Saccharomyces cerevisiae S288C: one gene and its partners. The main gene of each other region encodes a partner of the protein of the gene in region 2 in a complex. Each region holds a gene or a part of one and is shown on either strand. Other genes may lie near its edges.

Region 1 (2,576 bases), on a different chromosome or scaffold from region 2:
TTCCCTGGCATTTTCATTCAATTCAGCAGCCCCAATTTGACTTTCTCTTTGTGTATTATTGAATTTTAGAGCGTTGACATCAGGTACTTCAATATCAAGAACCAACTCACCATAAGTGGAAGCTTTATCAACGCGTACTGTGTAATCAATTTCAATTGGCTGTAATGGGAGCAGGTGAGTACTATTAATAAGGGACAGTAAATCCGTTAATTTCATTGTATCTGGAGAAGATTCTTTAAGACTGCTGGGTAATAAGGTAATAAGCTGAGTGTCTAATTTTACAATAGAAACTTGACTGGAGGCTGCATCAAGCATCTTACTAGTACTGGTGTTGCTATTGTGATTGTTCCTGTTGCCCATCAAATTTTCGAATGCAGACTCATCATTGGTAAGCAATTCATTTAAATGGATGTATTTATATATGGAAAATATTGCATCATGTGATGTACCGCTCTTCAATCCTATTATTGCGGTTAGTTGTGGAGAGTAGCTCATAAATGGCTCTTCTGGGGATGATTTTCGCAGGATGCTTATAGTGCATTCTACATTTTCAGACCCTACCCTCTTAATATCGAGACCATCGAAGTCTACAGGATTATTCGGGTCATACTGCCATTTCACTGATTCTAGTTTTGGAGTTGTAGAACTCATATCCTTTTTGGCAGTCTCCTCCCCCATCGTGGCATTATTTTGGTCGGTATTAGTCGTAGTAGAGTTGTCACCATTCGGCAGTGAAAATTGTAACGGTAAGTTTAAGTTCAATTTCTTATCACTGGGTCCTTCGGTGGCATTTTCTTCAGGGGCCGCATTAAATTTAGTCGATGGCACATTATCGTTTTCCTTATTTTTGAAGTCTACCACTATCGATTCTATGAATGAGCTAAATTTTTCTCTTGCTGGATCATTAGCTTGCACATTGTCCAATAATCGACCTTCGATTCTCATCGTCCAAGTGGCATTCTCCAGTGCCATAAGGTCAGCCTCATTGTTTGTGTCCATTTGCCAGGGTTGGTTTTCACTAACATTTGAAATGAAGATTCGGAGAAATTTTACATTTGGAAAATTTAAATGAGGATAAAGAAACTCTTGGGATAGCTTTGACCTCTCCCACTGCGCAACCATTCGCTTCATATGTAAGTTTCGCAGATGAATAAAATGATCTAATCTTTTCTCGGAATCCACCAGTTGTTGGAAAGAATACAGCTCAGGAATCAATTCGGCTAAATGGTCAGGGATAACCATATCTGATGGATGAGAATGTGGCACTGTTGGCGTAATTTGAGAAGCATTATTTGCTTTATCTTGGTTCACCGGATCCTTTTTCTTTGCATGAAAGAAATTTTTAGTATCAGGTGTGGCTGCTTTTGAACTCTTTCTAGAACCTTTTCCGTTGCTGGGTTTCATTACTTTGGACATGGTTCAATCCGTTAGATCTCTGTTTGACAGCTTTAGAGTTGTCTTATTTTGTTTTTGGTTTAATACATCCACGTTATTTTGTATTTTTTTTGTTTATTATTGCAAGTTTTTAGTTCATTTGTTCTTTCCGATGAAAAAGCAAACTCAAAGGGCAGTTAAGTTACGTTATACCGTAAGGAATATAAAAGGCTAACTAAATAACGAACGAAACAGGTCGACCAAAGATGCTACATTGCACCCAGGTGTGTCTGAGCGCTCTGACAAAGAGAACCCACAGGGTCAAGGTTCAAGTCCTGAAGGATTTCCCGCGATTTCAATTATATAAAGGACAAGTTGCAAATGTCAAACCATCTTTAATGAGAAACTATTTACATAACTTCAATGGTGCAAAATACATACTCAGCGAAGAACACGACATAAATACGGAACTGTTAAAACAATACCAAACACTTGAGGCAAAGCTAGAGGAAGACCATCAACAGCTCTCTAAACGCCATGAAACGGAAGTTCAAAAGAACATGGAGTTACGTAAAGAATCTGTTTTTGGCCACAAGAAAGAAGAGAAGCCAAAAGAGGAAAAGAAGGGATTATTGGATTCTGGGATTACTATCGAAGAGGTTAAGATCCCCGGTCTTGACATTTGATTGGTAAAGAGTATGTATTCAGATAGCGTACAATCTTGTATATAGGCAACATCGCAATTCAAAACACCACATACCAATTTACATACTTACTATTTAAATGTATGGATACATGGAAAACGTTCGTATACAAAAACTGAAGAGGTTCAGAAAATTATAAGGAGGAAAGAAGAACAAAGTGGTTCTTACTGAAATCTTGTTCTTTGCTTGTTTTTGAGACGTCTTTCTCTTTTCTCTTTCATTTTTTGATCTACCTTTTCTTGTTGACCAGAGGCCTTCAATTGACGTCTTTTGGCTTTTTCCAATTCTAATTTCTTCTCCTTTGCCAATTCCAATTCAGTTTCTTTCATAAACTTTTTGATCTTGTTCAGTTCTTGCTGACGCAAGTTGGTAGTTCTTTTCAAGATGTCGTTGGTAATGAATAAGTTTGGAGACTGTTGGACTAAATCTTGAGTGAACCCATCGTAGATTTCTACGACTAAGGAAATAATTTGGTTTAACAACTTCAATTCATTCTCA
Region 2 (3,042 bases):
TTTGAGTAACATTCGCACTCCCATTAGCAGCAGCAATTGGCTTCTTTGGTGTCTTCTTCTTCTTCAAAGTTTTCTTCAATTCCGCCAGCGTGCTTTCCAAATCGAAATTGTTGTCAAACAAAGCTAGCTTAAGTGAAAGATTATCCCAGCCTTGGTAATCCTGTAACTGCGCCTTTAGAGTAGGAAATACCTCGTTCATTAGATCATATTCATCGTCATTCAAATAATCATCAAATTCACCTTCGTCGTGAAAGTCCGGCATGTCGTCTGCTCCATCGCTGTAGTCACTGTAAGCCATCTCGATAGTCAATAGTTGTCGAAGCAGAAGCCTTTGGGTGTCTCCAAGCTGTACTTAACTCTTTTTAAATTGCTTATTGGTTAGCTTTCATGTGGTATATTCAAGTCACATTAATGGGCGTCTCCGTGCATTGTGATCAATATATGAATACGAAGTACTTATAGAGTAGTATTTACACGATTGTTATTATATTTATATAGCATTCACGCCTGGTACCACAGGAGTTTTCTACGCTTACGGTCCTCTCTGGCTATACGCCTCTTCTCCTTCCAGCGTGATTGGATTTCTTGCAATCTACTTTCCATAATTTGTACATGTTGTTCACTAGGTTTCGAGACCATGGATACAAATAATGGCGAAATGCCATATTTTGCAGCCAAAAATTTGCGTGTATACTTTTGAGGATTGTCAAGACGTAACTTCCGGATCTCATCAATTTCTTGAGGTCCCAGATGATAGGTTTTGCCGTTCACTGTGCTCTTACCTACGAGAACATTTGGACACTGCTTCGCTTTAGTGCTTTGAACAGGCATGTCAAGCCCTCTACGAGGGTCACTGGCTGCCATAAAGCTACGTGGAATGGTCTCACTGTTAACAGATCCGGTTGCGATGGATTCTGATGGTTGATAGTACATTCCTGGAGCATCTCTGTGCTTTAAATACCCTTTATAGTTAGATGCGCTCTTAGTCTTGTTGTAAATCGTTGTCACTTGTGTTTTGGGAAATCCAAATTGCTTCCAGGCAGATCCAGCAGTGTGGAACGATCTGCAGCACACACCTCTGCCAATCATTCTTGTGCTATTTTACTTTGTCTTTAATTTTCCATTTTAACTTGTTGAAAGTATCTCTTTTTGCCCTCTTTTCTATTTTCTCAAATAATAAAAGCGGTGAAAGCTGAAAAATTCATGAGATGACTGCAGATGATAAAACACAAGAAGGCCCAAAGACAATACAAATACCTCTGGTATGGGTCATTCGGGGCGTGAGGAAAGGATAAAAGACATATTTAAGGAACTTACGTCAAAAGAACTAACGCCTGGGTTGCTTTTGACACTGCAGAAACTAGCGCAAAAGCCGAATACTAATCTAGAACAGTTTATTGCCAGCTGTAAAGCTTTGACGAAACTCAGCAGTAACAATCCAATCATTTTTAATGAACTTCTGGAGCTCCTCAAGAATAAATCTGAAGAGGACTCGACAGGCCCAAAGAAAATCGCCCCTTCTATAAATAAGAGAAAGAAATTTAAGATCCAGTTAGACCTTGACGATAATGAAGATGAGCTAGATTCTCCAGTTCAAAAAAAACCAGCACCTACACGGACGTTGTTCAAGAGAATAGATAAACTAAAGGCCAAACAGTTGAGGCAGTATTCGCCCACCGTGAAGGATCCTTCTCCAAATAGTGAACAGCAAACACAGAATGGTCATGCTGAAACGAAGGACTATGAACCGACTCGAAGCGAAGTAGTTGAGGAGGACAGAGAATGGTATGATAATGATGATGATTATGGAAATTTGGTGCCTGAACCTCTGTCTGAATTGCCTGAGGAAGCGAAACTACTACCTGTCATTAGGAATATCGACAACGATGATGCCTTACGAAATACCGTTCAATTATACCCCATACCACTCAAGCAAAGAATGGAATGGATCCCTCCTTTTTTATCAAAGTTTGCTCTTGAAAACAAAGTGCCCACTTCCATAATTATCGGGTCCATCTCTGAGACGTCCAGCCAAGTATCCGCTTTATCAATGGTGAATCCATTTAGGAATCCTGACAGTGAATTTTCTGCGAACGCCAAACGAGGTAGTAAGCTGGTTGCCTTGAGAAGGATAAACATGGAACATATTCAACAATCTCGAGACAACACCACTGTTTTGAACACTGCCATGGGGGAAGTACTAGGCTTGGAGAATAACAATAAAGCAAAAGATAAGAGCAACCAAAAGATTTGCGACGATACAGCTCTTTTCACGCCATCAAAAGATGACATTAAACATACTAAAGAGCAACTGCCTGTTTTCCGCTGCAGATCTCAATTGTTATCATTGATAAGAGAAAATCAAGTAGTGGTGATAATTGGTGAAACGGGCTCAGGTAAAACCACGCAACTTGCACAGTATTTATATGAAGAAGGATATGCCAACGATAGGGGGAAATCTATTGTTGTCACACAGCCGAGAAGAGTAGCAGCCATATCCGTTGCAAAAAGGGTTGCAATGGAAATGCAAGTTCCATTGGGTAAGGAAGTAGGCTATTCTATAAGGTTTGAAGATGTGACGGATTCTGAGTGTACAAAACTTAAGTTTGTAACGGATGGTATTCTACTCAGAGAGACCTTATTGGATGATACACTCGATAAATATTCGTGTGTTATTATTGATGAAGCTCATGAAAGGTCATTAAATACAGACATTTTACTAGGTTTTTTCAAGATTTTATTAGCACGTAGAAGAGATCTAAAACTCATAATCACTTCAGCAACAATGAATGCGAAGAAGTTCTCCGCATTTTTTGGTAATGCTCCTCAGTTCACAATTCCTGGAAGAACTTTCCCCGTACAGACCATATATACTTCCAACCCTGTTCAAGACTACGTAGAAGCTGCAGTTTCTCAGGCTGTGAAAATTCATTTAGCAAACGATTGTTCAAGCGGTGATATTCTCATTTTCATGACAGGTCAAGAAGATATTGAAACAACGTTCGACACTCTGCAAGAAAAGTTTTTGCAAGTATATTCTAA
Region 3 (2,527 bases), 470 kb from region 2:
CAACTATGCAATGTATTGTTTAACGGAAAGAATTAACGATGGTACCTTATACGACTTGGTAATATCTTGGGACGAATTCAAACGTTCGAAGATACCATTTGCAGAGAGATGCAGATTGACCATTTTTTTAAGCTTACAACTATTATCTGCATTAAAGTACATGCATTCCAAAACGATTGTTCATGGTGACATCAAATTAGAAAACTGTCTGTTACAAAAAGAAGGTAAAAAATCGGATTGGAAGGTTTTCCTATGCGATTTTGGAATGAGTTGCCACTTCGATGAGAAGCATGTTTATCGTAACGATACTTTTGATGAAAACTTGAGTAGTGGCAACAGCCATAGAAAGAGAAAAAGTATTGAACAAACTAATTTGATAAAGTATCCCACAACCAATTTTTTACCTGACGACCGAACTAATGATTTTGACGCTAGTGAAAACTTAAAATACCAATTTGAAAATCGAAAGCATCAACCGTTTACACCAAAAGGAATGGTTAGCTCCAGTTCACATTCATTAAAGCATCTCAATCAACCATCCTCTTCTTCTTCTTCTAATCTATTTCACAAGCCAGCCTCTCAACCTCAACCACAGCATCGGAGTCCCTTTCATGGGAGGCACAAGACAACCGATTTTTCAAACCTGGAACCCGAACCTTCTAAATATATCGGATCTCTGCCTTACGCTTCGCCAGAACTTCTAAGATACTCAGATGCAAGACGTTCAAAATCAGTTGAAATGCATATTTATGATTCACCAGACTCCTCTCAATCGGAAATTAGCGCAGCATCATCATCTTCCTCTAATTTATCTTCTCTATCATCCTCTACAAAGGCGTCCGCAGTCACGAATTCCGGTGTAACTACAAGTTCACCGTCTGGTTCATCGACTGATTTTCCATGTATTGTTTCTCCTTTAGGACCAGCATCCGATATTTGGGCCTTGGGAGTAATGCTATATACAATGTTAGTAGGAAAATTACCCTTTAATCATGAGTTCGAACCTAGGTTACGCTCTCTGATTAAAGTAGGCGAATTTGACCGATTTTCTTTAGCTCAGGTCTGTAAATTTGACAGGAAAAAAAATGAAGGAACGATTGGTCAAGGCTTGTATGACACAGTCATTGGATGTTTGACGATTGACTTGGATAAGAGGTGGAAATTGAAAAGGATTGAAGAAGTCCTTCAAAACGAAATGAACCTAAGCGAGGCCATTCACGATAATAATGGCTCATGACTTATGATTAATGATATTGATTGCATTGAAAAAATACATACATTGTGCTTACTTTTTTTTCTCCCATTTTATAAATTATAACGAACTTCATAATTACTATTACGAAATATGTAAATAAGTATTTTTATCGCATATTTGATGCCTCTATCACTTATTTGGCGCTATTCATTGCGACTCGTGCAACGTGCGAAAACTCAGAATATTTTTTTGAACAGCCTTAAATCATGTTGCTAAATGACGGATGGAAGAAAAGGGACCTATAGAAGAGTTCGGATAAATTGTGAAGCGTGGATATTGGCATAGCGGATTTGTAGAACGGTGTGTCGTCAACCCTTTGAGATCTGGATAAGCCATATTTTCTAACATCACAACATGATATTTCTAAAATCTGTCATCAAGGTAATCGACAATTCAGGTGCACAATTAGCAGAATGTATTAAAGTAATAAGGAAAGGGTCCCCCAAGAGTCCTGCAATGGTTGGAGACAGAATAGTCTGTGTTATACAGAAAGCAAAGCCCTTGACTCAAAACATTACGGGGACAGCCAACACCAACCGTGTCAAAAAAGGTGATATTTGTCACGCAATTGTCGTAAGGTCTAAACAGCGTAACATGTGCAGAAAGGATGGCTCCACCGTTGCATTCGGAGATACTGCTTGCGTTTTGATTAATAAAAATACCGGTGAACCTCTGGGGACAAGAATTATGGCTAATGATGGTTGTGTAGATAGAACACTGAAAGACAAGGGATACAATAAGATATGCTCTTTGGCAAGTAGGGTCATATAAGAATAAAAGTACCCCCATTTTCCATTCATTAACGTTATAATCAAGGGACTGTAAACCAGCAAAAGAGCTTTGTCGTCATTATTTAATTAACCACCTGTATATATTGCTTAAATTTTAATGTATGACTTTAACTTTGAAAACGCATGAACGTGCTGCTGACGTTCTACTCATTGGAGTTGTATTCTTTTTCTTGTCTTATTCTATAATTGCATGCCGTGAATATTGTATACAAGATATTTATGTGGAATCATATATTAGGCAGCAATTCGTACTTTTCATCCACTGCATATCTAAAAGTTTGCCAACAGAAATCCTTTTTCTTGGTTCCCATTGAAAGATGCGATATAATGCGATTTTTCTATTTGTGGCCAACTCTGAGTTTACGTGCTTTAATTCTTCGAATACCCTAAACTGGTTTTTACGCTGCATTTCCTTGTAAAATTCATCATAAGACATATCTTTTTCTCTCGAAGCTACTTTCCAAAGATAATGCCCCAATAT
Region 4 (3,433 bases), on a different chromosome or scaffold from region 2:
GTTGTGCAAAGCAACTGTCCAGAGACTATTCCAGAGATTCTAAAGTCTCAAAATGCCGCTGTGAATGGCAGCGGCATCGCTTGCCAACAACGTAGCTTACCAAGAATCAAAATCTTGGGTACCGGTGGTACTATTGCATCGAAAGCTATAGACTCCTCTCAAACTGCCGGCTATCATGTTGACCTGACCATCCAAGATCTATTGGATGCCATTCCAGATATATCCAAGGTCTGTGACATTGAATATGAGCAACTATGCAACGTGGATTCTAAAGACATAAACGAGGATATTCTTTATAAAATTTATAAGGGCGTCTCAGAATCGTTGCAGGCTTTTGACGGTATAGTTATTACCCATGGGACTGATACGCTATCTGAAACTGCATTCTTTATTGAAAGTACTATTGATGCTGGCGACGTTCCTATTGTTTTTGTTGGTTCGATGCGTCCTTCAACCAGCGTTTCTGCTGATGGCCCTATGAACCTTTACCAAGCAATTTGCATTGCTTCAAATCCAAAATCTAGAGGAAGAGGTGTTCTTGTTTCCTTGAATGACCAAATTTCCTCTGGTTACTACATTACTAAGACGAATGCAAATAGTTTGGATTCTTTTAATGTTAGACAAGGCTATTTAGGAAATTTTGTCAACAATGAAATTCACTACTATTATCCTCCTGTGAAACCGCAAGGTTGCCACAAATTCAAACTGAGAGTGGACGGTAAGCATTTTAAATTACCAGAGGTTTGCATTTTATATGCTCACCAAGCCTTTCCGCCAGCTATAGTCAACTTAGTGGCAGATAAGTATGATGGTATTGTTCTTGCTACCATGGGTGCTGGTTCATTGCCGGAGGAGGTCAATGAAACCTGCATGAAATTGAGTTTGCCGATCGTATATTCCAAGAGATCGATGGATGGTATGGTGCCTATTGCCAACGTACCAAAGAAAGGTTCAAAGGAGGATAATCTCATCGCATCTGGTTATCTAAGCCCTGAAAAGAGCAGAATCTTGTTACAATTATGTTTGGCAGGTAACTACACGTTGGAAGAAATTAAACATGTTTTCACTGGCGTCTATGGTGGGTGAAAATTTTGTAATTTTTTGCATTTGTGTCGATATATATATATATATACATAGACACAGAGATAGAGATATAATTATGCAAGTCCCTGTTAATGCTAGTCTGAGATGAGTACAGGAATTCTTCATTTAGATTGTCTCGGCTATGTCACTTTTCTATCGTTTCACCTGCACATGGCTTTGTCTTGAATACTGAAGCCGTTATTATAGTTCTATCTTCATGTTTTTAGAGGTTTTTTTTAAATGAGTTTATTAAAATTAAATTTTGAATGTTATTTTTGAATAAAAATATAAAAAAAATAATATTAATAATTTTTCATTAACTGCTCATGATATCAGTGCATTAGAAAATCTTTTGGTTCCACTTTTCCTATAAAAATAATTCAAGTTTTATCATTATATCATTTTTAAATATTTGATTATCATCGCCCGCTGGTCACCGCATTTTTAAAGAATAAATATTACTTTTTTCGAAATCTGGTGTTTAAATATTTTTAAGAAAGTTAAAAAATAAGGAATATTTGATAAACAAAAAAAAATTAGCCTTTATATATCCATTTTTGTTTATGTATTCCTTTTTTTATTTTCTTATGTGTTTGGGATTTACTGTCGCAGTCTTTTCAAATTTTCCGGGCTAAACCGGAAGCCGGAAGGTCTGGGATAAGACAACAGTATCCAATACAATATCAGACTACAGCAAAAAGCTTATTCAGAGATCTTTACAGAAATCAAGGTCACTGCCGAACTATGTTACGAAGATCTATTCATACCACTAAAATCCTCCAAAAACCTAATGCTACTTCGCATATTTGGTCGGACTTTACCACAAGGCCTAGTTCACTTTCTATCCAATCTTCAAAAGTGAAAAATTACCTTTTCCAGAAGAAAGCTTCTCTAGACCCACCATCTATCAGCAGAAGAAGTAACCGTATCAAATATTCACCTCCAGAACACATTGATGAGATTTTCAGGATGAGTTATGATTTTCTTGAGCAAAGATCCAGTAAGTTTTATGAGTTGGCCAATAAGACTAAAAATCCCTTGAAGAAGGATGCACTTCTCATAAAAGCAGAGATCAATAATCCTGAGGTACAATACAATTTTCAGTTTAATAACAAGTTGAACAATGTTAAGGATATAATAGATTATGATGTGCCAGTGTACAGACATTTGGGGAAACAACATTGGGAATCGTACGGCCAGATGTTATTGATGCAAAGGTTAGAAACGTTGGCTGCCATTCCTGATACTCTTCCAACTCTGGTTCCACGGGCAGAAGTGAATATCAAATTTCCCTTCTCTACTGGTGTAAATAAGTGGATCGAACCTGGTGAATTTCTATCGTCCAATGTCACATCCATGCGTCCCATTTTCAAAATTCAAGAATATGAACTTGTGAACGTTGAAAAACAATTGTATACGGTACTGATAGTCAATCCTGATGTTCCAGATTTGAGTAATGACTCATTTAAAACGGCTTTGTGTTACGGATTGGTGAATATTAATTTGACTTATAATGACAATTTAATAGATCCAAGAAAGTTCCACAGTTCTAATATTATCGCTGACTACTTACCTCCGGTACCTGAAAAGAATGCTGGAAAACAGAGATTCGTTGTTTGGGTATTCAGACAACCCTTAATCGAGGATAAGCAAGGTCCTAACATGTTAGAGATTGACCGAAAGGAACTAAGTAGAGATGATTTTGATATCAGGCAATTTACGAAGAAATACAATCTAACCGCTATTGGGGCACATATCTGGAGAAGCGAATGGGATGCCAAAGTCGCCGCCGTCAGAGAAAAATATGGCCTACCACCTGGAAGGGTTTTTAGCAGAGTTAGAAGGTGATCCTAAATAGTATGACATTATAGTATCCTGTACATATAAAATAACGTGTCATTGTTAATAAAGCTTGATGCAAATAATATAAAGTAAGAATCTGAAAAATTTTTGGAATGTGAATTTTGTTTACAATACGATACGTATGATATTAGTATGTTCTAGAATATATACATTTCATTTTTTTCCTTATTGTTTGTGCACTAACGAATGAAGAAAAAAATATGGAACATCTAGCGAACGAGAATCCATCATAACTTCGTCATTCAGTGCGAGCTAATGTGCATTTTTAGTATCCTATTTATGTTGAAGCTTCTATTTATGTTGAAGCTTCCTTCAGGGATTCAACGGCGTTAAGAATAACTCTTTCAAAATCTATATTAGGATCTTCCAAATTAAATGAGGCGTTCGCAGGCACATCTTTAGGAGTTACTACAGGGTGTAGCTTGGCGTATTCCTTCTTTGCCTCCTCTACCAGCTTCAATTTCTCCTCGTACTGTGCCTGCTCCTC

What was found.
Region 1: MRPL20 (region 2) and MRPL50 share a complex: the UniProt entries of both Saccharomyces cerevisiae proteins name them as parts of the mitochondrial large ribosomal subunit.
Region 3: MRPL20 (region 2) and MRPL38 share a complex: the UniProt entries of both Saccharomyces cerevisiae proteins name them as parts of the mitochondrial large ribosomal subunit.
Region 4: MRPL20 (region 2) and MRPL35 share a complex: the UniProt entries of both Saccharomyces cerevisiae proteins name them as parts of the mitochondrial large ribosomal subunit.

Annotation. Positions count from the first base shown.
Region 1 is NC_001146.8:669,258-671,833, reverse strand, and holds MRPL50 (mitochondrial 54S ribosomal protein bL9m MRPL50), read left to right. Parts: upstream 1-1,640; coding exon 1,641-2,060; downstream 2,061-2,576. Other genes in the region: SNF12 (Snf12p), read right to left, coding at 1-1,416; YNR021W (uncharacterized protein), read right to left, coding at 2,243-2,576. UniProt on the Saccharomyces cerevisiae protein: Component of the mitochondrial ribosome (mitoribosome), a dedicated translation machinery responsible for the synthesis of mitochondrial genome-encoded proteins, including at least some of the essential transmembrane subunits of the mitochondrial respiratory chain.
Region 2 is NC_001143.9:598,593-601,634, forward strand, and holds MRPL20 (mitochondrial 54S ribosomal protein mL58 MRPL20), read right to left. Parts: upstream 1,090-3,042; coding exon 502-1,089; downstream 1-501. Other genes in the region: ribosome dissociation factor GTPase HBS1, read right to left, coding at 1-298; DEAH-box RNA helicase PRP16, read left to right, coding at 1,265-3,042. UniProt on the Saccharomyces cerevisiae protein: Component of the mitochondrial ribosome (mitoribosome), a dedicated translation machinery responsible for the synthesis of mitochondrial genome-encoded proteins, including at least some of the essential transmembrane subunits of the mitochondrial respiratory chain.
Region 3 is NC_001143.9:129,025-131,551, forward strand, and holds MRPL38 (mitochondrial 54S ribosomal protein uL14m MRPL38), read left to right. Parts: upstream 1-1,609; coding exon 1,610-2,026; downstream 2,027-2,527. Other genes in the region: protein kinase NNK1, read left to right, coding at 1-1,237; putative serine/threonine protein kinase KKQ8, read right to left, coding at 2,264-2,527. UniProt on the Saccharomyces cerevisiae protein: Component of the mitochondrial ribosome (mitoribosome), a dedicated translation machinery responsible for the synthesis of mitochondrial genome-encoded proteins, including at least some of the essential transmembrane subunits of the mitochondrial respiratory chain.
Region 4 is NC_001136.10:1,108,762-1,112,194, forward strand, and holds MRPL35 (mitochondrial 54S ribosomal protein mL38 MRPL35), read left to right. Parts: upstream 1-1,827; coding exon 1,828-2,931; downstream 2,932-3,433. Other genes in the region: asparaginase ASP1, read left to right, coding at 1-1,086; TIM11 (F1F0 ATP synthase subunit e), read right to left, coding at 3,242-3,433. UniProt on the Saccharomyces cerevisiae protein: Component of the mitochondrial ribosome (mitoribosome), a dedicated translation machinery responsible for the synthesis of mitochondrial genome-encoded proteins, including at least some of the essential transmembrane subunits of the mitochondrial respiratory chain.